3 linked regions of the Arabidopsis thaliana genome follow. The protein of the gene in region 2 interacts with the protein of the main gene of each other region in a pairwise test. Each region holds a gene or a part of one and is shown on either strand. Other genes may lie near its edges.

Region 1 (11,006 bases), on a different chromosome or scaffold from region 2:
CTGTCGGAAACAAACGGCCAATGTTTTACCACGTCGCATTCTTAATTGGATGTAAGTCTTTACAAGCACTTAAAACATTAAACTCTTTTTTCTCATTCGTCCACGTTTCTTTTTAAATTAATACTGTTAACAGATAATTATTCACAAAAAAATAATATCTGAAGAACAAAAAAAAAGGTTTCAGGGCCTTAAAATGGCTGCTCGTGTCGAGGCGGCAGCAACACACTTGTCGTCTCTCCCTGTAGCTTCTCTGGAGTTTTCGCAGTCACGAATCTTGTTTTGAAGAAATTAATTTGGTAAAACATATTTTCGAGCTCCTTTCTCTTTTATTATCCGTTTTCTGACTTCTGGATCTGTCTTTGTCGGATCATCCAATTTTTTTGTTGTCTTTCCTCTGTTTCGTTTATGAATCATGATGATGTACATGTTGTAACTGAAGTAACTTTTGGTTATCAAATTAGAGTTAAAGAGAGAATTTTTACGAGATATTTGTTATAAATTTATCGATTTGATTCTTGTTGCTATTAGGGTTTTGTCTATTTGATTCGATCGGGTTTTTTTTAAGAGAAATGGGTTGTGGAATCTGGAATAGATCCTTCTCATGCTTGTTGGGTTTTGCTGATTTTCTCGTTTTTGGTTTTATGAGTAAACTCTGTATCTGGTGTGAATTCGTTTTCCATCAAAAAAAGTCATCAAATTACGTTTTTTTATAAACATTATCCAAAGATCTGACCTTTATTGATTGACTTTACTGTGCTTTTACATTTGTTCGCACGCATTTATGTGGTTTGTCCAGTTTCACTTTAGTATTCTTTCTCTTATATGGATGTGAACATGCATTAGTGACACATAGTTCACTCCTTTTTATTTTCCTCGGAAGTTCTCTTTTTCATGGATTCTTAGCATTATGTAATATACACTCTAACTGCTTTACTTTGATTTTAGAACAAGGGTTTTAGGGCTTGGATGCTTTGTTTTCATTGAAAAAGAAGTAGAAGGAGTGTATACAAGGATTATGGGAACTCACATCAATTTCAACAACTTAGGAGGTGGTGGTCATCCTGGAGGGGAAGGGAGTAGTAACCAGATGAAGCCAACGGGTAGTGTCATGCCCTTGGCTAGGCAGTCCTCGGTCTACTCCCTTACCTTTGATGAGTTACAGAACACACTAGGTGGACCGGGAAAAGATTTCGGGTCGATGAACATGGATGAACTCCTGAAGAGCATATGGACTGCTGAGGAAGCTCAGGCCATGGCCATGACTTCTGCGCCAGCTGCTACAGCGGTAGCGCAACCTGGTGCTGGTATCCCACCCCCAGGTGGGAATCTCCAGAGGCAAGGTTCGTTGACGTTGCCTAGAACAATTAGTCAGAAGACTGTTGATGAGGTGTGGAAATGTTTGATCACCAAGGATGGTAATATGGAAGGTAGCAGCGGAGGCGGTGGTGAGTCGAATGTGCCTCCTGGAAGGCAACAGACTTTAGGGGAAATGACACTTGAAGAATTTCTGTTCCGTGCTGGGGTTGTAAGAGAAGATAACTGTGTTCAACAGATGGGTCAGGTCAACGGAAACAATAACAATGGGTTTTATGGTAACAGCACTGCTGCTGGCGGCTTAGGTTTTGGATTTGGTCAGCCAAATCAAAACAGCATAACATTCAATGGTACTAATGATTCTATGATCTTGAATCAGCCACCTGGTTTAGGGCTCAAAATGGGTGGAACAATGCAGCAGCAACAACAACAACAGCAGTTGCTTCAGCAGCAACAACAGCAGATGCAGCAGCTGAATCAGCCTCATCCACAGCAGCGGCTGCCTCAAACCATTTTTCCTAAACAAGCAAACGTAGCATTTTCTGCGCCTGTGAATATAACCAACAAGGGTTTTGCTGGGGCTGCAAATAATTCTATCAACAATAATAATGGATTAGCTAGTTACGGAGGAACCGGGGTCACTGTTGCAGCAACTTCTCCAGGAACAAGCAGCGCAGAAAATAATTCTTTATCACCAGTTCCGTATGTGCTTAATCGAGGACGAAGAAGCAATACAGGTCTAGAGAAGGTTATCGAGAGGAGGCAAAGGAGAATGATCAAGAATCGGGAATCAGCTGCTAGATCAAGAGCTCGAAAGCAGGTGAATATAAATCTAACTAAACTTATCTAGTCCCTTTTGTTTGGTTTGACTATTATGGTCTTATATTTTGCAAGACTGCATTAAACAGAAACATAAAACCAGCAAAGATATCTTCTATCCCGAACCACTTCTTGTATTATGAAAGATGCTTTATCTTCCATGTTTTTTAACTATCCACTAATTACAGGCTTATACATTGGAACTGGAAGCCGAAATTGAAAAGCTCAAGAAAACGAATCAAGAACTGCAGAAAAAACAGGTTTCTTTCTGTTTACAACCTCTCTGTGTGTTTTCTGTTTTCCCCTATCAGACTTTTAGAACTTGGCTCTGATCCTAGCTTCCCCTGTATTGCAGGCTGAAATGGTGGAAATGCAGAAGAATGAGGTAATTGTTTAAGAACTTTTCTTTTCATTGAGTTCATTCTGAAACCCTTGACCATACTTGATTAGGACCAACATCAGCAGCAAAAGACTAAACTTAAGTTGTAGCTCTGATAGTGTATGTTGGTCCTTATCAAGTATGTCCCCAACTGAAGCTCAAACCTGAGATAGCTTTCGAACATTTCGTGGTCTTGCTTCGTTTTGAATAGCCTTTTTGATTGTGTTGTTCACTAGTATTCTTTTCAAAATTAGCAGCTGAAAGAAACGTCGAAGCGACCGTGGGGCAGCAAAAGGCAATGCTTGAGAAGGACATTAACCGGACCATGGTGAAGGATGAAGCAACAAGAACGGATGAACCAGACTCCTAGCTTGGGATTAATGTAATAGGATAGTGCTACCTGTACAGGAGATTAAGAGAAATTGAGTGAAAGATCTAGGTTACAGAGTAGGAGAGAGTTTTCATTATGAATAAATGACATTTTGTGCCCTGACCTTTGTTAGTTTAGGTTTAGATTATCCTCTGTTATTGACTTATTGTGCTTTCTGGTTGTTAGGGTTTCTAAAAGACATAGTTGTTTATATATATGTCTGACTTTGTATTCCGGATTTGGTTCTCTTGTGTCATTAACTTGGGTTTAGCCATTATTACTTAAGAGTGGCAACGAAATCATTCTTGACTCTGGTTGGAAAACATATGTCATCTTTCAAAACTGCAATTAGAAAACAGTTAGGATGATCCTAAGTGACAAATTTCTAGAAAAAATGTGACTAATTTGTCTCTGCTCACTCAAAAAGAGAGACCATTTGGTGGAGAGTGAGGGGAGCCAGTCTCAAGCAGAAAACTCCGGCTACAATGCGACCTTGAAGTAGTACTAGAGGAAGAAGCCAAGCCACGGATGTCTCCACTTTGGAACCCTGAGTCACCTCTCAGTGACCGTCCTTTGTTCTCTTCAACTGCCATTGCAAGCCCGAGATGCAACGGATCACAGCTTTCGTACAACAGCCTCAGAACTTGCTTGATTGATGGCCTAGCCACGCCTTCTTTCTCTGTGCACCATCTTACAACTGCCACTACTGTTTCAAGCTGTTCTCCATCTATGCAGTCTTTGATTCTCGGATCCACCAGATCTATGCGTCTTGATTCTGATACCAGCAAAGGCTGAGACAGTTCTACCAGGTTCCTACCTTCATCAACCGCTCTTTTCCCAGTTATGATCTCTAGCAACACCACTCCGTAGCTGTACACGTCGCTTTTCTCTGTTAGTTCATGTGTTACAACGTACTCTGGATCTACATAGCCTGAAATTCAGATTTCATGGTTTTAGATTTTGCTCAATATTTCAAGAGTAGTTAATTCCTTAGTATCCTGACCTGGAGTTCCGCGGATATCAGTATTAACAGGTTCAAAACAAATGGAGCCATCTCTAGAAGCATGTGCAAGGCCAAAATCTGCAAGCTGCACCACATAACCCCACACCCACAGGTCAATTCTTTAAGAGGTAAAACGAATTGATAAGTCAGTGACCAGTTGATGTGAAAGGATGCAGACGCACCTTAGCAACAAAGTGCTCGTCGAGTAATATATTGCTTGACTTAATGTCTCTGTGACAGAGGGGAGGGTCACAGTAGAAGTGAAGGTATTCCTGCAGGAAAGGAAGCATATCCAGTTAAGAACTAAGAACAGTAATAATAATATAAACCATAGACTAGAGTATCAGTTTTATGGAAATTTACCAGAGCATTAGCCACATCAATTGCGATTTTCATCCTTGATTCCCAACTTAGTGGAGATTTTTCCGTGGCTGCAGAGAGGAATAACAACGTTCAAGATTCTTAGTCAAGTCTAAAACAGAGGAATGCAATCTGAAAATCATGAGCATACAGTGTAGATGATCCTTCAGGCTCCCATTTTCCATATACTCGTAGACAAGGAACCTGTAATTCTCAGGTTAGATGAGCAAAGGGCAATCCACACAAATGGGGAGAAACGAAATGAAGGTCAACCGTAATCATTCACCTCTCGTTCTTCTTATTACAAAACCCTTTCAAAGCAACTAGGTGGCGGTGATGCAGCCTGGCGAGAAGCTCTATCTCTCTGCAAAATTCATCTTCAGCTTGTTCAGAGCTCTTGTTCATCTTTTTTACAGCTGCAACCAACCCATTACTGAACTCAGCTTTGTAAACAGTCCCAAAGCCCCCACGGCCAATCACCGCGTTGAAATCTTCAGTTGCTTTCCTTATCTCCTTGTAGCTGAATTTCCGAAAACCAAACGAATTACCTGAAAAATCAAAACCACACATTTGTTTTACATGGTCTAACATCCCTTGTTAGTGTACCATCAGAAGAACTCTTCACCTTCATGAATCATCGACCTTGGGCGGGGAGAAGGAGATGTCCTTGTTAGATTACAAGCGATGCTCTTGGAGTCATCAAGTTCTCGTTTTTTTCTTTGGATAAGAACTATTAGGACTACAACCATCACAAGAGCAAAAACTGTGACAGCAATCCCAATAGTCGGAACCATTGTCAAGTGATATGGATGGTGACTTTTTAATGGAGACAAAACAAGATTATCGCTGCTTGGACTATCAGCTAACACTGGAGGAGAAGCTTCTGGACTCAGCGATGATGGAGACGAACCTGAGTAGATGTGTCAAGAAAGTCAGAAAAGAAAAGAAAGTCCAATCTTGATCTGATACTAAGAAGATTATACAGGACACACTAGTAATATATACAGGATCTGTCAAGCATCTTTCCCAATATAGAAACAATGATAAGATTCTACACTCCATGAATGGTATGTTGACAGAGAAAACAGTATATACCTGGAGTGGGGCTAAGCTCAGGCACATTAAAGAAGCAGCTAGCTAGTTCAAGAGCCGATGAATTGTCAACCCGGCTTGCTAACACAGCATAAGTTGCATCACGACAAGTACTCAGTTTGATGCTATTATCAGCACCAACGAGGCTCCTAAGGTAGCTGATACTGGAATTCAAACAATTCCTGCATTGATCACCCGGAGGAAGCGGGAGTTTGCAGTTTCTGGAAACATCTCCAAAACTTGTGGAATGAAGCATTGGCGGTACAGTAGTCAGACCCTCACAATCATAGTTAACAAGAATCTTGGTCCCTAATCCACAGAAGATGGTAGCATTTCTTGGGATTCCATAAAGCTCCATGGTTCTAGAGATAGTAGTGATACAGATTTCAGTCAAATCTGATGTAACTCCAAGATCAGCTGTGTAGTTTGCATAGCGGGCGACAGATATTGCAACGAAAGCATTCATGTAGCGGCAGCATTTAGCTCTCTCGGTGTTGTTCGAGCATACGGAAGCCACTAGAGTGAAGTTAGATGAAGTAAAGTCCAATGGACAACCTGTAAACACAATATATCACATAACTTTGCTTCAATTTTGCAATAGTTTCTTTCTCTCAATGAAAATCTCATCAAAGACTACGACTTTAAGCAACGAATTCACCACAAATTAGAACAAAGGAACACACAAAACACTTTAATGCACATCGAAATTCGCACAAAGCTTAAACCTTTCAGAAAAAGCAAGATTAACAACAGTTCGTTTTCTCTTCTTTATCTAGTTACGAATCAAACCCATGGAAGAAGATTGTCAAGGAAGATTCTCAAAAGACTGATGTGGTGAGAGACAAAACCTGCTTCGGTGAGTAAAGGAAAGTACTGGAATCCAAGCAATGCGAAGAATGCGAGCAAGAGAGCTTGATTATAAACCAACACCATGGCCAAAGAACAGAGAGAGTCGTTAGGAGAGGTCAATGAGAAGTCGCCTGAAGAGAATATGACAGTGGAAGAAGGTCAGTGACAATGAGATGGAGAGAGAAAGAGAGAGCCCCCAACTTTCTCTATTTCTTGATGAAACCCATTAAACCCCTGAATAATCCTTAAATTTGTCATTCTCTTATGTTTTTACCCGAAAGTTCGTTGTAATAGTTTTAAGCACCCCCATACAAATAAAATTACTAATTTTCGTTCAATAAAACTTTTCATGTATAAACATAATCATTGCAGTGGTCGGTTTTTAAGTTTCTTTTTTTTTCTCTATCTTATCTCTTCACATGATTTGGTTCCACAAAGAATATTAACAACTCTTAGAAACAATAAGCCGCTATATGTTTTCATCATAAAACACCTGTAAAATGTTAACATACGGCGGACACCTAAATGTCAAACTAGATGATAGTATGGAAGGAATATTAAAACTTCTCCAAATACTTTATCATATGGTTTTTCTCTCATGTGTGAGGTTAGTTTTATGATTGATTTGGACCGGCACAAAACGTATTTAATTTTCATAAGACTAAAGTACTTTATAATTTTAGCTGGCATGCTAATTAACTTGATAGCATTTGATTACTTGATAATGATGACAGTCTCATGCAAGTTCTTCATTTTTTGGTTAAGTTTATTCTTTAAAATGGAATCAAAGAACCATTTCATGTAGGATGGCATGTTAACTTGTTAAGTATAATAATAAGAACAAACCATAAAGGAAAACGAGAAGCCAATAAAGAACTCTCTTCTATAGCTATTAATATCATCATTGTATCCTAGATACTCGCGATTCCTCATGTTATTTTTTGTTTGAAAAGATAAATTTAGATTTAAGTTTTTATTTACCGTTTTTTGTTGGTTGGTCAAAACAACTTGTAAATCACCCGTTCCAAGTCTTTTGGAGTTTTACCAAGTAGTTGCTTCTTCCCAAAGTCAAAATCTTTGGGTTTTTATTCTTTTAAACTTCTTTATGGGATTTTGGTGCAAGAAAGAAGAAAATGTTTCAGAGATTCACCTTCTTTCTAACAGCTCTTCTCATTCCATGTATTCTAATTATCCTTAGCCCTTCATATGCCCTCAAGGTAACTTAATCTGAACAAATCTTTCTCAACATCATCAAGAATTGATCATAAATGAGTCTAACCTAAAAAAACCTAATGGATCGTCGGTTTCAAGAAAATTTACAAAACAAAAGTGTTGATCTTTGTGTTGATTGGTAGGAAGGAGAAACATGCATCGTGAGCAAGAATTGTGATCGGGGATTACACTGTGAATCGTGTCTCGCCAGCGATAGTTTCCGACCTAGATGCTCCCGAATGCAACCCATTAACCCGACCACCAAGGTTTCTTGTTTATGTTCTTTTCATTTAGTCATTAATATTCTTAATATTTGTTGAATCTACTGATCATTATCTTTTCATGTTTTGTGTCAAAAGGTAAAAGGGTTGCCTTACAACAAGTACTCATGGTTAACAACCCACAATTCATTTGCTCGAATGGGTGCAAAATCAGGCACTGGCTCTATGATTCTTGCACCTTCCAACCAACAAGATTCAATCACAAGCCAACTCCTTGTAAATATTCTTCTTCATCATAATAAACCCATTTCAAAAGTTTTATTCTTTTGATAAACCCATTCCAAATGTTCCATTCTTTGATTTGATTCTTATGTTTACATTTTTTGGGTTATTACAGAATGGTGTTAGAGGGTTTATGCTTGACTTGTACGACTTCCAAAACGATATATGGCTTTGCCATTCTTACGGTGGAAATTGTTTCAATTACACCGCATTCGTAAGTTCTATATAGATTCTTATAACTTGATCGGTCCAGTGTCGAAAATAGTTCTAATTAATTTGTTTTTTGGTTTGTATGTAGCAACCCGCGGTTAACATTTTAAAGGAGTTTCAAGTGTTTCTAGACAAGAACAAGGATGTTGTTGTAACGCTTATCCTCGAGGACTATGTGAAATCTCCTAATGGTTTAACCAGAGTGTTTGATGCATCCGGATTACGAAACTTCATGTTTCCGGTATCAAGAATGCCTAAAAACGGAGAAGATTGGCCTACTCTTGATGATATGATATGTCAGAACCAACGATTGCTTGTTTTCACGTCTAATCCTCAAAAAGAAGCGTCGGAGGGAATTGCGTTTATGTGGAGATACATGATAGAGAATCAATGTGAGTTCGTCTCCAAATATACTAATACATCATATTATGATAAGTTATTATAAATATGAAATATTGATATAATGTTATGATTTTGTAGATGGAGATGGAGGGATGAAGGCTGGAGTGTGTACCAATAGACCGGAATCAGTTGCAATGGGAGATAGATCAAGATCACTTATTCTAGTCAATTATTTTCCGGATACTGCAGATGTGATCGGATCTTGTAAGCAGAACTCTGCTCCTCTTCTTGACACCGTCAAAAACTGTCAAGAAGCCTCGGGAAAACGTTGGCCTAACTTCATTGCAGTCGATTTCTACAAGGTACGTTTTGGTGAGATTTGGATCCGGTTAATGTTAACATTTGTGTAATGTTCATGTATGTGTGTGGTGGTTTAGAGAAGCGATGGTGGAGGAGCTCCAAAAGCAGTGGATGTTGCAAACGGTCATGCAGTTTGCGGCTGCGAAGATATAGCCGCTTGTAAAGTTAGTATTATATGATTATGTAGTACTCACTATGTGAGTTATGCTATTATATGTAATGAAAAATTGTTATTTAACGTTTTTGACTTTGTGCAGGAGAACATGCCATATGGGACGTGTGAGAAGCAAGAAGAGAAGAAACCGGAATCAAACCTAATGATGATAGCAAAACTTACCGCGGAAGCGACTAAAGGCTATGGCCACCCATCTACCAAACCGACCCTACTTGGGCTTTCTGTGTTTGTTGTAACCTTTGTCTCACTTCTCTCAACTTTTTGACTCAAATGATTTACTTTATACAAATGACAAAACTCTAATCTAACCATGTTCCGGTTCGCAAAGAACCAACGAAAACAAAATCTATTTTACTTGTATAGTAGTCACCTAAAATACACATACAAAAAGAAAATGCATTTATTCAATAAGGGGTACTTACAAATATCAACCATGTATATCATTTTAAAAACAACTTTGTTTTAGCTAGAGATTCCGAATCCGGTCTGGGTTAAGAGCATTGTAAGATACCGGTGGCGAAGCCTGACCGTCTGATCCTTCTTGATCCGGTTTAATCCGGTGGGGATCTTTGCCACAAGGGAGATAAAAGAAAGACTTAAAGTTAGGACAACTCTGTTTCCGCAAGAAAAACTTGGCGCATTCCCATGGTGTTCTTTGATTCGTAAGATCTAGAATACAATTCATACCCACATCAAGAATCTTCCTCTTGATGAGTGTTCGACATTTTGGACCGACCTGTGTGAAGTAATTGTACGAGAGAGAAAGGTTCTTGAGGGCTGAGAGCTCGCAGACAATCTCCGGTATAGTACCGTAGAAATTGTTTCTAGCCAAATTCAGCTGCTCCATCTTCTTTAGGCATCCGAAAGAGTACGGAATCGGACCGGTTAACTGGTTTAACTCAACATCGAAAACCGTAGCTCGGTTAAGGTTCCCAATTTGGTACGGTAAGCAACCAGTTAACTTGTTATTCAAGAAAAGGACTTCTTGTAGGGACTTGATGTCACCAATGCTTCCCGGAATAGGACCTGTGAATCTGCATCACATCACATGTAATTCCCCCCAAAAAAATAACTTTAGAACCTTAAAAATACAAGATACAATTCACAAATATCTCGTGACATCATAATACCAAACTTGAAATAAAAACAGAGTAAATAACTCTGTAATTTGAAACAGAGTAAATAATTCCCTGATAACAAAACGAGAATGAAAGTGTGGAGCTTTTGAGACCTGTTATTAGCGAATGTGAGGTAAAGAGCGGTGATCGATCCAAGATTTTCAGGGAGTCTCTGAACAAGATTGTTGTTGTTGATGAACAATACGTCGAGGTCTAGATTGAAAACCTGAGGAGGGACAGAACCGGAGAAAGAATTGAATCTGAGATCGAGAAACGTGAGGTTCGTTGCTTTTAACACAGAGCTTGGGAACTCTCCAGAGAGCTTATTGTTGCTGAGATCAAGCTCGAAAAGGTACTTCAATTTGCTGAAGTTTGGAACAGAGCCCACAAAATTGTTACTGTTTGCGTGAAAGATGGTGACTTCTTCTAACTTGTTGAGGAAGTTATCTAGCCGGAGTTTCTTGCCACCCAAGTTAAAATTGTTGAACTGAATGCTGGCAAGTGCGAGGTCGTTTGTTCCCGGTAACTTGGCGCACTCGAGTCCTATGTATTTGTCCTGAGCGCAAATGTCGGTGCCTACCCATGTTTTAAGTATGCTCTTTGGATCATCTTCGATTAGCGTCTGGAAATTCTTGATGACTGGATAAACTTTCTTTATTAATGGGCTTGAGAAATGTAGCGGCGGTGGCGGTGGAGGAGGAAGTGGCCGTGGTGGCGGTGGTGATGGTGTTATATAATGATGATAAGGAGGGGGAGGATAGTGTTCAGGCTCCGGAGATGGGGATGGAGGAGGGAGTGACTGTGGTGGCGGCGGGGGTGGTGGCGTTTGAGGAGGAGGAGGCAGCGGAAGATAGTCTTCTGGCTCCGGAGATGGCGCAGGAGAATTGTAATTGGTGCTAT
Region 2 (9,945 bases):
GAGAGTAGAGAGACTCATCATGAGTCATTGAACACTCCGGTCTCTCTGCTTTCTGGAACAGAGGATGTAACGAGTACGTTTGCTCCAAGTGGTGATGATGAATATCTTGATGGTCAACGGAAGGTCAACGTCGAGACCCCGATAACGTTGGAGGAAGAGTCGGCTGTTTCAGACTATCTTAGTGGTGTATCTAATTATCAGTCCAAAGTTACTGATCCCACCAAAGAAGGTAAGAACTTTGACCTTTTAAGATTGTGTTTTTCTTTAGTGATTATGAATATGTAATAACTCTGTTACGTTGTGTTTGGTTTAGAAACTGGAGGAGTACCGGAGATTGCTGAGTCTTTTGGTAATATGGAAGTGACTGATGAGTCTCCTGATCAGAAGCCAGGACAATTTGAAAGAGACTTGTCGACGAGAAGCAAAGAATTCAAAGAGTTTGATCAGGACTTTGACTCTGTTCTCGGTAAGGATTCGCCGGCGAAATTTCCAGGTGAATCAGGAGTTGTTTTCCCGGTGGGCTTTGGTGACGAGTCAGGAGCTGAGCTGGAAAAAGATTTTCCGACGAGAAGTCATGATTTTGATATGAAGACTGAAACTGGAATGGACACGAATTCTCCATCAAGAAGCCATGAATTTGATCTGAAGACTGAATCTGGAAACGACAAGAATTCTCCGATGGGCTTTGGTAGTGAATCAGGAGCTGAGCTGGAAAAAGAATTTGATCAGAAGAACGATTCTGGAAGAAACGAGTATTCGCCGGAATCTGACGGCGGTTTAGGAGCTCCGTTGGGAGGAAATTTTCCGGTGAGAAGTCATGAGTTGGATCTGAAGAACGAATCTGATATCGACAAGGATGTGCCGACGGGATTTGACGGAGAACCAGATTTTCTGGCGAAGGGAAGACCTGGATACGGTGAGGCATCAGAAGAGGATAAATTTCCGGCGAGAAGTGATGATGTGGAAGTAGAGACTGAGCTGGGAAGAGACCCAAAGACGGAGACTCTTGATCAATTCTCACCGGAACTTTCTCATCCTAAAGAAAGAGATGAGTTTAAGGAGTCCAGAGATGATTTTGAGGAGACGAGAGATGAGAAAACAGAGGAGCCAAAACAGAGCACTTACACAGAGAAGTTTGCTTCAATGCTAGGTTACTCCGGAGAAATTCCGGTGGGAGATCAAACTCAAGTGGCGGGAACTGTTGATGAGAAGTTGACTCCGGTCAATGAGAAGGATCAAGAAACAGAGTCTGCCGTGACGACGAAGTTACCTATCTCCGGAGGTGGAAGTGGAGTAGAGGAGCAACGAGGGGAAGATAAAAGTGTGTCGGGTAGAGATTATGTGGCGGAGAAACTGACAACTGAAGAAGAAGACAAAGCCTTTTCTGATATGGTTGCCGAGAAACTTCAGATTGGAGGAGAAGAAGAGAAGAAGGAAACGACGACAAAGGAAGTGGAGAAGATCTCTACCGAGAAGGCAGCATCGGAGGAGGGTGAGGCGGTGGAAGAGGAAGTGAAAGGAGGAGGAGGAATGGTTGGGAGGATTAAAGGATGGTTCGGTGGTGGTGCGACTGATGAGGTGAAGCCAGAATCGCCACATTCTGTTGAAGAGGCTCCAAAATCATCTGGCTGGTTTGGTGGTGGTGCGACGGAGGAGGTGAAGCCAAAATCGCCTCATTCCGTTGAAGAGTCTCCACAATCACTTGGCTCCACTGTTGTTCCGGTGCAGAAGGAGCTTTAAGAATATGAGAACTGAGATTTTCAAGTTTCACTTTGGATGTTTATGTGTGTTTTGTTTGACGTCTTTGATGTATTATGGTATAATTCCTTGTTTGTGTGAAAAAAGGACATTTGGTTAATAAATTGTTCGGCTTTGGATTAAGAAGTTCCTCCATACCAGCTACTAGGTCTAAAGTGGGTAAAATCATTGGATTTATTCCCTTCAAAGTTCTTAGAATTATTCACAGGATTTTACATTATGAGCTAGTAGTGTGACTTGTTGAGGTGTTGTCTCTATCGTTAAAGTTCTCGAATATTTCTAGGATGAGAGCATATTTGATTTTGTTTTCTATAGTTGCTTTTGTTTGTTTTGGGACTCCCTAATAACTCATCAAAAGTTATACAAAAAAGAAACGAAAATATTTTTAATGATATTTCATTGTTAAAATCCACTAAATGACAATTACATAAGCTTAAAAGATGACGAATGTGATGTTTTTGTGGCTAAAGTTAGTTCTTTAAGTGAAAACTTGACATTGAAACGCTCATTATGGAAAATTATTTGTTGATTCAAAAAGGCCAAGAAACACAACCGACTTAATTAAGACCATCTCCATTGGTCATCAAAATAAAGAGTCTTTAAATATAAAATTAATAGAAATAAGAAAAAAAAAGAATTTAAAGAATCAAGGTGAGAAATGTGTCTTCCTATAGACATTTAAAATCTTGTAATGGTCAGTTTAAAGATCATTCCCTCCATATGTCTTGTTGTTAGTGGTCAGTTTGTTTTTGATATTAAAATATTAAATATGTTGATTTTGAGACATAAAAAAAATAATTTAGCAATGAGGATGCTTTAACTTGCATCACTATGAGGTGTATATTGTTTCTACACTGATTTTGGATATTCAATTTCACAAGTTTAGTGATCGGTTTGATAAAGCTAAATTCTGAACTACTTATTTTCACATCATCATCAAGTATTATTTCTTTTTTTCCATCATTTTGACAAGTCATGCTCATGAGATTAGTTAAGCTTTATCCACATCACTTTAGTTTAGTGTAAATATATTGATCATCAACTTGACATTTATTTTGATTAGGTGCAAAAAGATGAAAGATTTGTTAATTTAAAGAGTTTTGCTTATCTTGCTCCTGTGATGGTGGACAAAAAAAAAACATATTTTACATTCATCTTTGATTATTACCATTGTGATAACAAACAATCACTGAATATTGTATTTTAAAGTGAATAGCTGTTTATTGAAAATTAGGTACTGACAGTATTACAAACGAATACCTAAAATTTTAGGTTTATATTTGTTATGATTTTTTCATGTTTTCAATAAACTTTACATGTACTAAAATTTATGATATAAATAATTGTTATAAATTATGCCACTGCGGATGAAGGTTATGTTGATTTATGTAATAATAGTAGTTTTAAAGCAGTGAATGATAACTTGCTGGACTATATAGGTTTTTCATGCAAGTCCTATTACTCTCATCTCATCAGTTATTTAGAATGATGAATTTCCAGAGCCGCCATACTTTTGTACTTCCAAAGGGCTTCTACTCAAAGGTTGATGGGCTATGCGTTTCATTTCTGTGAAAATAACAAAGTTGGATAAGAGAAATATGATTTTAGATAGGAAAAATTAGCACTAATGGTTTCAAAAGAAACAAACTTACTTCATTTATTTTATTATTTTAATTTATATTATCATGAGGTTCTAAATCTTTACCCATAAATATTCTTTCACAATGGAATATTTTATTGTAACATAAAACAAAAATAAAATATCACTAAATCTTAGTGACACTAACTTTGAGACCATGTTGCATGCGAAGAAGAACGGAAGGAACTGGTTTTGGTTTGTGCCCTTCAACGACCTTAATGTCATAGTTTCTAATGATTTCGACCGCTACTGTCTTCATCTGCAAGAATGTTAATCTTTTCCCCAAGCAAGTTCTTGGACCAGCGTTAAACGCCAAAAACTTATATGAAGACTCTTGTCTCAACATTCCACTGTCTGAAATCCATCTCTCTGGTCGAAAATCTTCTGCGTCATCTCCCCAAACAGATTTCATCCTGCCTAATGAATAAATAGGGATTACTACCCTCCAATTCTTATCAACTTTATGACCACTTGGAAGCACGTCTGGCTTTGCCGGTGACTTGTGGTTGAATGGGACTGATGGGTATAGCCTTAGCGTCTCACACACGGCACCGTCTAGGTACACGAGCTTGTCTAAATCTGCCGGATCAAACTTTGGCATCTTCTTGTTAATCTCTTGTCGGATCTTGGTCATTGCTTCAGGGTTCTTAGAGAGAAGCCAGAAAAACCAAGTGAGAGCTGAGCTGGTTGTGTCTCTTGCCGCTATCACAAGACCCAAAATAGTGTCTCTGATGAATTTATCGTTACTCGGTTTCAAGTGTTTATATTTGGTCGTGTCTATAGTCATGTAATATGTTAAAACGTCCATGGCCTCTCCTTTTGAGTCATGAATCCCATGATTTTTGATCTCCTCTCGTTTAGCTGATATGATCTTCCCTAGCATTTGATCGAAAACGTCGAGACCTCTTCTCATCTTCTTCTCTATTCCTACACCGATCCAAGATTGGATACTCCACAGGAAAGCCGGCTTGAGATGTCTATAGAACATGGCATCTGCAACTCCATCCATCGCATCAGCGAACTCAACCTTAGGCATTTCAACGGAGAGAGATTTTGGATCATACCCAGCCATCAAAGTAGAAGATGTGTCAAACAAGAATCTCTGGAACAAATCTTGCAAGTCGACAAGAATGTGTTTCTCAACAGCGTTATCAAGAATAGGAACAAGCCCTTGACTTAATTTGCTTACGCTTGTACTCACCGAAAAACTTTGGAAATCTTGATGGCTGAAAATCGCATGAGACGAGTTTCTCATATCCTCCCACAAGCCCGAGTCAACGTTGAAAATCCCATCTCCCAAGAATTCAAAGATCTTGTTAAACTTCTTCCCTTTGGGGTAATTCACGAAGTTTGAACTTAGAATATACTGGATATTCACCGGGTCAACAGTGAGCAATATGTCTGTTCCACTAAGCCATGGCCCTATGAAACAACCCGTCATATTTTCTGCCTCAAGAGCCTCCGTAACAAAGTCGTAGATACGAGGGATTTGGAAGAGCACACCCGGAAGCATCCCAAGGACCGGCCAGTTCATGACCATATGCTTTGGAGTTTTCTTGTGGAGCGAGAAACACTGGTAGACAAAGAAGAAAATGAATGCGATGAAGATTTCAAGTAAGCCTATGATCATCGCCATTATTGCACACAAAAATGATTTTTTTTTTTTTGGTCAAACAAAATAATGGATTTTCATATGAGTGAGTTATTCATACAAGAACTCGTTTGCTATATATAACACATGTGTATATGTCATTTCAAATCATAGTATTGCTCTGTGTAAGAACATTTAATCACTGGTGTTTAGAAAAGTCAGAAAAGGAGTCTTGTATTTGTCAATTATTGAAGATGTTAAGTGGTGTGGAGTTCACTGGCATAATATTTTTTTTTTTTTTTTTTTGTGTGTAAACAACTTTTCAATCATCCTTTATTTTGTACATTTTACATCTATATTACAACGAGAAGTAATACAGAGATAACTCTAAAATCTCTTTACGATTCGAGTATATTTTTTCTGAAGATATTAAATTTTCATCATTATTTATATGATAATTATACTATTATTGTAACACGTTAATCAACATGATTATTCTATGGTTACAAACTTACAATTAGAAGTTATAACTATATAATTATAATATCTATATTATTTTGTGTGCAAAATCGTTAAAATTCACTTAAAGTGAACTATATGAAATTTTTTAATAGCATTGAAATTCAAACTCAAAAAATTATGTGCAATATAGTAGTACATAATTGCAAAAATCATCATATGGACTAAAACAATTTAGACATGTGTAGTATAATCGTCGAGCATCTAATGAAGAAAAAAAAACACATGTTAAAGAAGTATGCACCATCAAAATATTTTGGTGTCGGTACCAACTTTCACAACTACTAACCACAAATCTTAATGTGCACCATCATTTCATAGTCCAAATTAAATTTTAAAATACAGGGACCACCGGTTTCCATATTTGAATAAATTTAAACCAAATAAAACCAAACTTCTGCAAAATAACCAAACCAGACAATTTCGGTTCAACATATGGTCTAGATTTCTCAATACCGAAAACCGAAACAAAATTACGCAAAACACAGAAAACATTTCGAATCTAATTCAGTCTACATTTCCCAAAACCCTTTTTTAGCACTTTGCTCCGTTTTGAAGTTTCCTCTTCTTCACGGATAAGTTCTTCCTGCCTTTTAAGCGCAATAGCTTCTTTGTATGCAACCTCAATTTTGCTGCTCAGAGATATTGAAGTACAATACATAAGCACATCAAGTTAGAACACAATGGCATACTATATAGAAACAAATTATGCATTATTACCTAAAGATATGGTCAAGAACAAATATCTCCACAGTTCGTCTACCCCACTCATTTAAACATATCTCATAAGCTTCCTTGTTGATATCTTCTTCATCCTTGTCCTCCTAGATTTGCATCCAAGCAAAAAAAACAAAATTTATCAATACAAGTAACTTTCTAGTGGAAAAGTGCATAAGATAAACAATAACGCGGATAATGGAATTAAGCCGACCTTAATACGGTTTTGAAGAGCTTTATCATCTTTCGGAGGCAATGGCTCTGGAGCAGCCCTCTCTAGGAGTGCAGCCCTCTCTAGGAGTAACAACACATCATCATCAACTAATACGAACATATCTCTGTCCACTTTAACAAACGGAGCTGGCAATTCCTTGTCATCTAACAGTTTTGGGCTAGCTTTCTTGTTCTTAGTTTGGACTTCAAGATCCTTCAACCCATTATACAAGCAATCCATCGCTATAGGTGATGTAACAACATTTTCCATGAAAAAGTGTTTTACAAATCCTTTTAGGATTACGTCCATTTTCTCTCTAGACATCTCACGCCTAGAGTTTTTGTCCATTCCTAACCAGAAAACACCGAAGCTGCAACCAAGAATGCAAATTTATAATGGTCTCTAGAGACATGGTTGGAAGACAATATATTAATCTAACATGGCATGGTTTCCTCAAAAGAAGAGGTAACTACATTTATGGAATCTGGAGGAGTTAAGGGTACAAGTTGAAATGTGAAATACCTTGTCCATTTGGCCTTGTCCTCTATCAACTTCTCAAGCTTGCTTCTTCTCTCCTCCACAAAGCGTAGGAAAATTTGCTCTATATTTCGAAAATACACCCTAACAATTTCTGTCTTGTAACCATAATCAAGGAAGAAAGGTCGGTCCACCCTGTCTCTGCAAGGACCAATTATATGGCCGAGGAAATGAAAAAATATAACATATGAACATGTGGAGATGTAACTTGTAAGTATATGGTAGCATGGAAAAATGGACCGTGCATGTGGTAATATTTTGCTCATAGAGTCGGTCTTGCATTACCTGATCACCTGAACTTTAGTTTCAATTGTAAGACAGCCAGAATCATCTATGAAGCCATCCCGTAACTTCGGTAACTCCATAAACTTTTTCCATCCCCAATCATGTTCTTTCTTCCAAAACCGGTGCAGCGTATCTACAAGATCATGAATTCAGTTGTCTGGATATCGAAATGGAAGCAAGCAATTAAAGATTCGAAAAATCACCTGAAAACTTAGACTTCTTTGGATCTTTATGCATCACAGATATAGTAAACTGAGCCAACTGACTCCAGCCTGGTGTCCAAGATAGCAAAAGAATATATATCACTAAGTATCCAGAGAAAGAAAACAAGGACCAAGCAGACCAGTGGAAAAAAATACAAACCTGGAAGAAGTTCATCATGGTTTGCAACACAGAGAAATAATGAGAGATGATTGCTAACATCACATCCTTCTGGATACATTAAAATATGCCTGACACATTGAAGATAAAAGTAACAACACAAAGCCTTCAAAACCATTTCCAGAGTTTTTTTGAGACAAAAATTAAAGATGAGAAAGATATGCATGCCATGTACCAACTGTAGCCTCCAATTTCAAAAACACTGCTAGCGAACTCCCTTTTGCTGATTTGTGAAAATTTCTTAATCTTCCATGTATTTTTTCCATATAACTCAGAGGGTTTAAGACCTGAGAAAAATAAGAAATTTCACATTAAATTAGCTGAAAAAGAGAAGTATATTACTAAAACACAAAAACAAACAAACGGGTATAGTATCTATTAACATATCTCGAAAACCTTAATCATTTGTGGACGGGATAGTGGGGACGTTTTTGACGATATTCATAAAAAAAATCATATTGCTAAAACACATACCATACTCATCATCCACATCAGTCTTTGCCATTCTAAAGGATGATTTTTTCGTCAAAGCTCTCTTTTCTTCAACTACGAACAAAAAAAAAACTAACGATTAGAGCAAATAAAATTAGATTATTGAATTCTGTAATTCCCCCTAAGATGCACAATTCTATTATAAATTTATCGTAAAATAATATTATATGATTTGAAAAGTTCTAAAGAGTAAGACTAGCTGAAAAATCAATTGATTTGATCAAAAACTGAAAAATGAACAAAGAACAAGCACATAGGTTTGGATTATATTCAACAATCTGACTCCCTCAAAACTGTATCGAATTCATAGCTTAAATCGAAACCCTAAGAACCCCCATCAGATCATGGATGGGCAATAAACCCTAAATTCCAATCTTAAAATAAATAAATAGATTGTTAAAAAATCAAAGAAGGACCAGAAGTTCATTTCTATTATGAAATCAACGATCGGAAAATCATAACCACTCTCTCGTATTTAAAAACAAAATTAAAGAAGAAGAAGAAGATAGAGATTAACCATAGAAACTTTGATTCTGAGTGTAGAGACTCTAAAAATCCATCTCTCTATTCTTACATATAAGATGATTGTGATCGATAATAACGATGAAGTGTATCCTAAAAGATATTTTGTTTACCTAATAAAATATATGATTCTTTACCTAAATAGATGATTCATTTTTTGGTATGAGAGTAGATTTTGTTTTCCACTATGAGAAAGGGGTAACGATTTTTATGTAACAACCCCAAATATATTATAGGGAAAATATCTTGTCTATTTGTTTATTAAGCTTATATTTTTTTCCGCAATTAATAAAAACAAGTAGGGACCCACAAAATCAACCTAAAAATATGAAAGTAACGAAACCATCGCTTATGTGGTGGGGTCTCTCCAAGCAAAATCGCATGAAACTTTTTAATTGTATCGTCGTCTCACGAATCGTAGAGGAGCGTCTCTAACTACACCAACAAACACATTTACATTTTTCCAATCCTCAAAAAATTTCTGAATCTTTACGCAACCAAAACTATTCTCTATCAATTTTCACCATCTTCTTTTTTGTTCATCGATCCAAATCAAGAAAATGGGGGTGGCTCAAGCAATGGAAGCCCTAACCGAGCGAGCAAGTTTGATGAAAGAGTCTTTGCATAAGAGCCAGACCATCACCGATAACATGGTCGGAATCTTAGGTTCTTTCGATCATCGTCTCTCGGCTCTTGAAACCGCAATGCGTCCCACACAGGTCCTTTCTTCATGATCTCTCTGTTTTTTGGATTTTTAGAGTCTCAAGGTTGTGGAATTTGAGATCTATCTTCTGTTGAAATTGAAATGTGATTCTGGATTTGGTGATAAAATGGTTGGCTTCTTCGACGTTTAATTTTGGGGGTGTGATTGTGTTTGTGTAGATAAGAACACATTCTATAAGGAGAGCTCATGAGAATATTGACAAGGCATTGAAAGCAGCTGAGGTTATATTGGATCAATTTGATATCTCTAGAAAGGTTTGGTGTTCTCTTTACACTCACCATACAAGATTCTCCTTTTATTTGCTTGTCTTTCAAGCTATCATTCTGTTCCCCTTAGGTTTCCTCAAGTTAAGTGTTCTTAAGATGATAACTGTAGACATGTTTTCTCTAGTTGAAGTTACAACTGAAACATTTGTGGAGAATGCATCATGTGAACAGAGTAGCAAATGTCTGCTTTCTGATGCTGTGAAACTTAGGATTTAGGACCCAATCCAGTTAGATATCAAGTACTCTGTTCTTGTTAAGGAGAGTTTTTTTGTCTTCAGCTAAGCCTAAGATCGTTTTCTT
Region 3 (9,625 bases), on a different chromosome or scaffold from region 2:
GGCGAATAAAAACAGCAGATGGAATTATTTCGAAGCTTTAGGAACACGAGAAGAGACTGGTCTTTAGTTAAAAACCAAACATATGTACTCGAAAGCCATTTATTACCTTTTTATTTTTCTTATTTCCGCGTGTTGAAAATGTCAGGTCCCTTGATCTTTGGTTTTTCATTAATTACTTCTTTTTGTATTTCTCAATTATTTATTCCATAATCTTTGATACTAGTGGTCAGCAAAACATTAAATATTAATAAAGTGGTATATAAAATGATGGAGCATGTGAAATTAACAACATATCATGATTCATTTAAATTTGTTAGTTTTTAATTGTAGATGTTTTAGATATTTTACCATTTATATTTCTAATAGTTGTTACTATTAACATGAAAAAAGTGAATTTTAAAATACATTATGTATCTTGAAGGTTGAATTATTTTTGTCATTTTTTAATCTATTAATATGTGTGGAGACATCTAATCGAGGGAGTACTGACTCTTGTTAGTTGTTAGGTAGATGTTTAGGTTATAAAGTTGGACATTATAAGGATGTATAGAAAGTAGATATTGAATAAATAAAACTAGCTGTCAATTGGTAAAATGTAGAAAATCAACTTCCAAATTTGAAGTTTAATATATGGTTAATTACATCATTTAGATATATTTATCAAAAACATCTCATCCATACTTAGTAAGTTAATATTCATATCAATCTTTAATATATATTATGAATATATGTCATAATAACATGGCAGACGTGAGACGACCAATAATAAAAATAACTTAATGCCAAAACAAATTTATATGATGAGATTTATGAGTAGACTCGTTAAAATATTCCTCAGTGAAAAAGTATTGCATACCTCAATGAAATTGGTGTGAGGTCCATAAAAGAGAGTTCAAGAAAGAAAGTACACATATTTACATTTTGAGTCATCGAAGTTCCATTTTACAAATATTAATACGTCACTGAAAAATGAAAATACCTACAAGAAGATATATGTGTACTGTGTAACTGTAACAGATTGGGTGTAAGAAATCGAGAATTCTTTTACTTCTTATTAATAAAGAAGATAAAAACACATGCTTTTATGCAAACTATATAAAAGAAACACAAAACAAAATTACATTCACACATGGAACCAACTATACAATAAAACATTGCAGTTTTCAATGGGCCACGAGTCTTAATGCATGTGAAACCAGTGATCAGTGACCACGTGTTAGGCTTTAATTTGTGAATTCCATATGATCCAACAATTTAACAATATCATCTATTCTAACTTGTATAAATTTATTTCGTCTAAACTGAGCCTTCTTAACCCCAAAGATTTGGCAATCGAGTTTATGAACTCCGATTTTATCTTACTCACACATTCTAAACTATAGGAAGAATTTCTTTATATCTTCCACCCATTGACAAAGATCGTACTATGTAATAAATTAGACCGCAAACAATTAACTTTATAAGAATATACCTTGGATAAAAATAAAAACAATAAGAGAACAATGTCAAAAACAATCACTAAAAACTTTTCTTTTATTTCACAAAACAAAAACTTTTCTTGAAGGTAAGTGAAAAATATTTAATTGATTGTAGAAAAGACGTTGTTCTTTTTGTTTACGGGTTTCGGGCTACACCGTCGTCACCTGAGGCGGTCTATATGTTTGTGTCTTCGAGGCTGTCATGATACTAAAAGATTAGAAATAGAATCGAAAAATTCACTTTGTAGAAAAGTTATATATTAGCTCGAAACAAAACAGTTAGACAATAGACGTACCTCGAATTAATACGTCATCCTTATTAGATTCTTTTTCTTGTGTGTGCGAAACCTTATTAGGTTCTTCACACCGTTTTTCACAAAGGTAACGTAAGAGACGACAAATCAACACGGCACAGAACACCAACAAAAACACAATGCATCCCAAAATAATCTTCTCCATATCGTGTCTGCTTCTTCTTCTTGCATACAAATTATATTTAAACACTAGTATGTGTACTGTTAACGAGTTTACATTTTGAGGTCAGAAAATATTCCATTTTAGGATCTTATGACTATGTAAAGTTTACATATTTTATCAATGTTTCTAATTTGTGATCACATTATGGATATTGTGATCACATAACGAAATGGGAAAATGCCAAAAAAAGAACATATCCAACTTTAAAATTTGCCAAAAATATTTCAAATTTTTCATTAACGGAGGCGAGGAGCTAGGTATATGAAATTATGAATATTTCAAACGACGCTGTTTCGATTATATAAACTAAACCAAGTATCGGGAAAGATAACCGATCCAAATCAAGGACAGTAACACAAACCGAAATAATCCAAACCGGGATTATACAGACAAAGTGGATTATAAGAGCAAAAACTCAGTTACCAAAAATTTCTGCGAATTTCGTTTTGAATTTAGGAAACGAGAGAAATGAGTTTCTTCGCTGTTGCTTGCTCCGCGCCAAGATCTTCTATGCTTCTCACCGGCTTGAATTCGAGCTTCTCTGATATGCATCGCAGCCCACTATTTGTTTTCCCGGTGACTATATCATCCCGGAGCGTGAAACGCTTCGCCGCTGTTTCGTCTGATTCCGTACTAGACCCTGAATCCAAAAATCAAACTCGGTCCCGTCGCAAAAATAAGGAAGCAGTTACGCCAATTGCTGAAACCGAGAACAATGAAAAGTTTCCGACAAAGGTCCCGCGTAAATCGAAGCGTGGGCGGCGGAGTGAAGCAGACGCTGTGGAAGATTACGTGAGAAGCTCCCTCGAGCGTACTTTCTCCACCATAAAGGAGCAGAATCCGGAGGTTTTTGAGAACAAGGAGAAGGCGAATTTCATCAAAGACAGAGGCGTTGATGAAGAAGAGGAAGAAGAAGAAGAGATGGTGGTGGAAGAGGAAGATCCAGATTGGCCAGTAGATACAGACGTTGGATGGGGAATCAAAGCTTCGGAGTATTTCGATACACATCCAATCAAAAACGTGGTTGGAGATGATGGGAGTGAGATTGATTGGGAAGGTGAGATTGATGATAGTTGGGTCAAGGAGATCAATTGTTTGGAATGGGAAAGCTTTGCTTTTCATCCTAGTCCACTCGTTGTCCTTGTATTCGAGCGATACAAAAGGTATAAGCTTTGTTATTTCATTGACGAATTTTCACAAACACTTGGTGTGCATAGTAGAACTATGAAAGCTTTGTTCTTTTTCCTTCACAACATTATCTAGACTATGATTACAAGTTGAAAGAGCCATTTGAGTTAGATTCCATGATCAATTAACTGCAATGAGTATAAAAACTGAAACTTGTTCTTAGAGTGACCAAAATCTACTACTGTTGGAATAATTTTTTGAGTTGTTGTGCGTTTTATAGAGCTAGTGATAACTGGAAGACATTGAAGGAGCTTGAGAAAGCTATCAAAGTTTATTGGGATGCGAAAGATCGATTACCTCCACGGGTATGTCGAAAGCCTTCTCTAGTTGCAGTTTTAACTTGAACATTACTCTTTGTGTACTAATCTCTCTTGGTGTGATTACATGTTAATGTGGCTGCTCTCTGTTAACAAGAATCACCATGTTTTATGAAACAGGCGGTTAAGATTGACCTGAACATCGAGACAGATTTGGCATATGCTCTTAAAGCTAAGGAATGCCCACAGATTCTCTTCTTACGCGGAAACCGGATTCTGTACAGGGAGAAAGGTGATAAGCTATGTTGCTAACGTTGTTTTCATGTTTTTTTGCAATATGTGTGAGCAATAGATTATCATAGCGTATTGAACTTGATGCAGACTTTCGCACGGCGGATGAATTGGTTCATATGATTGCGCATTTCTACTATAAAGCGAAGAGGCCTTCGTGTGTCGACAAGGCTAATGTAACCCCGTACTGTTAGTTTGTAACGGGCATAGAGTAGTTTCACTCAAAAGGTCAGTCTAGGAAAATTTACATAAACTTCACTCATAGATTGTTAACATTTTTGTATGTTCTATGCAAATATAAACTTGTTCCCAAGTAATGGATTTTACTCGTCAATCTGTGCTTTCCCTAACACGTTGATTCGTAACCAATGATGCATACATATATCAAGAAGCCAGCTCCTTTTATAGAAAAATTGTTTGAAGGATAAACTATTAATGCAAAAATCCATAACATAAAAACAAAAGCATTGAATCAATAAGAAAAAGCAAACTAAAAAAAAAATGAATTCCACAAAGCTAATCTCATAATGACTAAACCTAATGTGTTTAGTCTCTTATCAGTCAAGTAGCTTCTTCCACTTGGCGTAACCAACGGTGACTATGAAAAGCACAATGCAAAGCGCAACGACAGCCCACACAACGTAACCAAAGATGTCAGGTGTGCTATACAATCCAATTGGTATATTCATACCGAACAAGTTGACCACCACTGTCCCTGCAGTTATTGCATAATTGCCTATATTCACAAGCATCATTAGGTGGATCAGTCCGTTACGTCTACTATTCTGTAGTATCTTCACGTAGGCTTCTGTGCTGTCAATATGCTCCTTCATCTGCAATTCAAAAAAATATTAAATTACCAAGGACCGGGCATTAACACATAACAACCAAACATAACCCGAGCTTGCATCTAAAACTTATATGGTTTTCTTAGACCTATTTAGGTACATTTACTACTTACCAAAAGAATTTTGTTCCGCATTCCCTCTAGTTGCATGAAGTATGCCTCAAGCAACATCTCCATATCATCAATGTCATCTTCCTCCGTCACCATACTGGTGCTTATTCTGTTTGATGTGTGCCGTTGAAGATTTGGTTGGGAGACAATGCTATTTGATGCTGCCTCGGTTTGTTGGTTTTGAATCCATTTCCTCGTTAAGTATAAGTCTTCCATGTCTTCCTTGTCATCTAAGAAATGTTCGATTTCATCTCTCACCTGAATAATGTACTATAGCTTTTATGTTTCCGTCCAACACACAACATTATAGTATCATTGGAAAAGGTAATAACCTTTTACCTTTTGTACACGGGCTAGCAAGTGGGTGAGACTAGTTTTTAAACTTCTTAGGTCTTTAAGATTCTCATTGCTGACTTTCTTGGTTAGTTCATCAAGAATAGACCAAGCTTGTGTCTCAAGGTCTACCACATTGCTATCAACAAATGAGCAGAAGACCTCGAATGCAATCTCTAGTACCCGAAATTCAAAAGGAAGCTTACTCTTCAAACCCTCTTCTCCACCTTCTTGATGACCATGAGAAGAAGCTTGCAATATATTTTCAGGACCATCCTTCCGAGGAAAGTGATGCTTTAGTCGGTCAGTGAGTGTAAGAACTTCAGGACGGAGAGAATCCAACAACATAACTTGTTCTGAAGTAATTACCGCCTTTATGACCTCTAAATTCAGGACAATAGCTTTCTCTCTGGCTGCGTCATAGCAAGACATGGATTTGTTATTGTCTGTTGTGAAAACTAGTCAGCAAAAAAGACACAAACGTGTGTATACCTAGAATTTTAGAAGAGTGCGAGAAGGCAGTTCTTAAATCCTTAGCCGAAACAGAAGAACGTTCGATGATGGTGCTCTTGTCACATCCAGCCACTTCCATGAATCCAGTCCGATCAAACCTCGTCCATAGACAGACTCCTCCTCTTCTCTTCTTTGACTTCCCCGTCCCTCCCACGATTGCACTACAAGGCGGAGTAGGAGGCGATAGAGATGAAGGCATCCTATTCATCTTCACCGCCGTACCCTTCTTCCGGCTGCGGTTGCTCGTACTACGGCGAAGTGATCCCATTGACTTACCTGCAGCTGGTCAGAGATCTCTCCGCCGAGTCCTGCCGCTTTTGCTTGACTTTCTATTTTTCCGACGACGTACCCGAGCAGGGTTTGTGTTGTGTGTTTCGTTTCGGTTTCGGCCATGCGTTTGTTGTGCATTTAGGTTTGGGAAGTGTTTATTAAGTTATTAACTAATATAAAGTCTTTTTTAAGTGATTTTTTAATTGATTTTTTGCTTTTCTTAAAACTTGTAAATAGTTTTGCATATTATCATAGATATTACGTTTTTCTTTATCAAGATAAGTATGAACTCTTGTGGAATTATCTTGGAGATCTTGCATAATCTTTGTAGTGTTTGTTTGTTAGAATCCTTTTTTTTTGGATAACTGTTGTATGTAAAATCGCCAAACACAAACAATACACCACGATAGATGCAACTATTGAAGGATAATCTAATAATTCAATAATCTATAGCATAAAAATAAAGAACCCTTAAAACAATTAGTCATACTAAAACAAACAAAACAAATTCAACAACCCGCCCTACTCTGATTTTGCATCTCCAAAATAATCGTTCCTATCCACACCAAAAAAAAAGAACTATTTAGTCATCACAATTCCTGCAATTATTAACTATACTTTTCAGAGAAAAAATGTTGATTACCTTAATCGACGGAGGGAATTATTCACTCGCAGAGACATCAGTCGTACTCTTGTCTCTAAAAAAATTTAGAATCTCTCTAAACCAGCACGACAAAATAGCCGAAAGGATGACGAAGAAGACAACGATTACGGCTATGGCATATGAGGTAGCACTATTCATCTTGTTCTTTGCAACACAACGATTTTTTTGTTTAGTCACTTTTGTTTATGTTTCGTTCTTCTTCGTTTCGAGACGATTATATTTTATAGACAGCTCCCGTTTGTATGTTAATAAGGAAATTCCTATATCCTTTACATTTTCATAAAAGTTAAGTATAGTCACGTAAATATTAACTTTACATTTTGACGACAAAATTTTAAGAAACATAGTAAACTTTACAACAACAAAAAAAAAAAAAAAAAAAAACAAACAAACAGCTTTAAGCCCAAGCATCTGTGGTCCAGTGGTAGGAGAAGATTTGGGGAAGGGTGAAACTTCCAGACCTGGGTTCGATCCTCTCTGAAACAAAAATCACATTTGTTTGGGAATTCTGTCAGTTGGGATTTGGCCCAATTGGTTTATCTAGTAGGCAGAAATACAGGCGGCCTGATTACCCCCTGGCATTAGTCGGAAGGCATCCAAATTCGGGACAGATAGTGAGGTGGTCCTTCGGAAAGAAGTCCATTCTGAAGTATTTCGGTGCATTTCTACCGGTGCTGACCAGATCAGCCGATAGGGTTTATCAAAAAAAACAAAAAAAAAAACAGCTTTAACGTTCTTGAATCTTGGTGCATATATGATATATCATTTGTTTACATCTTTGTTGTCGTCAAGATAAGTTATTCCATGATTCTTAAACAAAATTTGTCTTGCAAGGAAAAACATATTTATTCGATATGAATACTAATGGGATGGTTTCAGTTCTTTCTTTTTTTACTTCTCTATACTTTTGTTTTGTTTTGCAGCGAGTCAACTATCTTTGAGGAGATGCAGTAAGCAGTAGACTGAATGGTGATCATTGGGTTAACCCCAACAGCTGATGGCAATATACTTCCATCACAAACAAACAACCCCTCTGCTTCCCAGCTCTCACCATTCTCATCCAACGCACCTTCCTCCGCGGTGACTCCCATCCTACAACTACCCATCTGGTGAGCCGAGAAGTACGTCGTCCAATACTCTCCTTTTGTGCCAACCCCACCAACAGCATCAACTTCGTCTAGAAACTCTTCCATGGCTTCTTTAGTAATTGCCTCACACTTCATCTTCTGTCCATCACTCCTATATGTTCCGACTTCAACTGCACCAGCTGCAACCGAAACCCGCAAAGCTTGTCTAAGACCTGCCCTCAGATTCTCTCTATCTTTCTTGGTTGTCCTGTATGTAACTTCGTTTTCCATCATAACCTCACCTGACCCTAAGTCCCGAACCAGAGCAAAAAGATGAGCTGTTCTTCCGTACTTAATCATCCTCTCTTTAAGGTCTGGTCCTGAAACCCACGGGCTCAACCCTGCGTAAGAAGCTGGTCCTATCAGTGGATTCTCCAGTATTGCTTTGCATCCAGATTCAGTATCATTCATATGATGGACGGACGTGATGATCCCTCCCTCATACATTTTCCCGGAGAACTCAGAATCTTTCTCCGGGAAGTATCCCCATGTCATCAGAACCGGGTGCAGCTTTAAGTTCCTTCCAATGTTCGGGTTCTTTAGCCCACTCGAAAGCATCAGAGGCGGTGTTAACAGCGATCCAGCGGATGAAACCGTTACTCGAGCTTCGATAATAAACTTCTTCCCAATCTTTCCTCCAACAGAGCTAGCAAACACTCCCACACATCGTTTCTTTCTCTCATTGCTACTACTAGTGTTGTCTACTAATACAAATCTCTCAGCTTTGATCCCTGTCAGGATCACTGCACCATTCTCTACAGCATCAACCAACCAGGTTTGATCTGTCCCGTTCTTGGCTCCTGCTCTACATCCATACCCGCACAAGCCACAGTAATGATCCTCTGGTGAGTTCCTTGGAACTGATTCTACCTGCAAACCGAGTCTCTCGCACCCTTTCCGCAGAACCTGATTCTGAAACCCGTGTTTGACACATCTTTCCGTGACACCAATCCTTATCGTAACTTCATCCATTGCAGACTGATATTCTTGGCTACCAAAAAACTTGATCTTACTCCCTTCAGACCATTCCTGCAAAACATGATCCGGTGTCCTTATAGATGCAGACCAATTAACAGCTGTACCTCCTCCAACAGCTGAACCAGCCAAGAGCATAAATTTCCCATCAACCGTAGTCAAAAGGCCGCCTTTTTCGTATAACTCGAGCATAGACGGAACTTCTAGACCCGAATAGTCATGAGCTGTAAAGTAGTTTCCTTTCTCTAGAACCAAGACTTTCAATCCAGCTTTAGCTAGGTTTGCAGCTGCAACACCTCCTCCACTTCCTGAGCCTACAACAACCGCATCGCATCTGATCCTGTACACATTGTCACCATCGTCTCTAGCAACATGAACACCTTTTTCAGTTAGAGATTGTGTGATGGTTACGTCACTCTCATGCATAGTTTCAATGATCCCTTTCTCTAGAGGTCGTCGCTTCTCATCTGCTTCACTCTTCTTGTTGCTACTTCTCTCTGTCCCATCGATGCAATACCCTATAGCTTCCAGTGCAGGATTCTTCAGATTCTCATCCGTCTGGGAGAAGAAGTAGAAGAGGGTGTAGAATTTTGCAAGGAAGAAAGTGATACGAAATGGAAGAAGGAATCCACTTTGTCTAGACCAATTTCTCAAGATCGCTTCTCTTTTATCCAATGGAAGTTGAGAGAATTTAAGAACAAAAGGCCAACTCTTATCAAGACAGAGAGACCCACAAAGCAACAAAGTTCCAAATCTGAATGACAAAATCATCAATATGATTCTCAAAACTTTGACTGCTTCTGATCGTCCGTTTTTCACTATCATCTCCGCCACCTAGATTTAAATCCAAATCAAACAACAAGAAAATAACATGACCAACTTCACTATCTATAATAGAACTATTCCTAAATCGAAGCAAGATCTTGAATACAAAATTAGAAACAGAGGATAGAGAGAGAGAACCTCATCAGTGAATGGTGGTTGAGTAGAGGAGGCTACGTGGAAGGAATTAACAGCTTGCTGTTCCGACGTGGTCTCCGGAGGGAGGAAAGTTTGACAGATGACGGCAAGAGATTGAATCTGAGACGGTGAGA

The links.
Region 1: the proteins of CYP96A4 (region 2) and AT3G19300 interact in a protein complementation assay, tested with the Arabidopsis thaliana proteins (one large-scale study listed by BioGRID).
Region 3: the proteins of CYP96A4 (region 2) and MGT5 interact in a protein complementation assay, tested with the Arabidopsis thaliana proteins (one large-scale study listed by BioGRID).

Annotation. Positions count from the first base shown.
Region 1 is NC_003074.8:6,686,941-6,697,946, forward strand, and holds AT3G19300 (Protein kinase superfamily protein), read right to left. Parts: upstream 6,441-11,006; 5' UTR 6,271-6,440; coding exon 6,186-6,270; intron 5,893-6,185; coding exon 5,341-5,892; intron 5,156-5,340; coding exon 4,871-5,155; intron 4,794-4,870; coding exon 4,532-4,793; intron 4,450-4,531; coding exon 4,397-4,449; intron 4,317-4,396; coding exon 4,249-4,316; intron 4,158-4,248; coding exon 4,068-4,157; intron 3,971-4,067; coding exon 3,886-3,970; intron 3,814-3,885; coding exon 3,302-3,813; 3' UTR 3,178-3,301; downstream 1-3,177. Other genes in the region: ABF4 (ABRE binding factor 4), read left to right, coding at 1,016-2,134, 2,322-2,393, 2,489-2,518, 2,767-2,844; AT3G19310 (PLC-like phosphodiesterases superfamily protein), read left to right, coding at 7,320-7,403, 7,542-7,664, 7,758-7,895, 8,017-8,115, 8,200-8,503, 8,592-8,815, 8,891-8,977, 9,071-9,253; AT3G19320 (Leucine-rich repeat (LRR) family protein), read right to left, coding at 9,455-10,022, 10,220-11,006.
Region 2 is NC_003076.8:21,241,587-21,251,531, forward strand, and holds CYP96A4 (cytochrome P450, family 96, subfamily A, polypeptide 4), read right to left. Parts: upstream 5,189-9,945; 5' UTR 5,034-5,188; coding exon 3,525-5,033; 3' UTR 3,390-3,524; downstream 1-3,389. Other genes in the region: LTI78 (low-temperature-responsive protein 78 (LTI78) / desiccation-responsive protein 29A (RD29A)), read left to right, coding at 1-229, 314-1,740; AT5G52330 (TRAF-like superfamily protein), read right to left, coding at 6,010-6,139, 6,228-6,331, 6,439-6,808, 6,961-7,116, 7,261-7,393, 7,464-7,532, 7,624-7,712, 7,817-7,928 and 1 more; EXO70A2 (exocyst subunit exo70 family protein A2), read left to right, coding at 9,216-9,374, 9,538-9,633.
Region 3 is NC_003075.7:14,119,627-14,129,251, reverse strand, and holds MGT5 (magnesium transport 5), read right to left. Parts: upstream 5,764-9,625; coding exon 5,475-5,763; intron 5,396-5,474; coding exon 4,989-5,395; intron 4,908-4,988; coding exon 4,653-4,907; intron 4,525-4,652; coding exon 4,249-4,524; 3' UTR 4,163-4,248; downstream 1-4,162. Other genes in the region: MRL7 (polyadenylate-binding protein 2-binding protein), read left to right, coding at 2,424-3,118, 3,364-3,448, 3,581-3,692, 3,782-3,885; AT4G28570 (Long-chain fatty alcohol dehydrogenase family protein), read right to left, coding at 7,329-9,365, 9,495-9,625.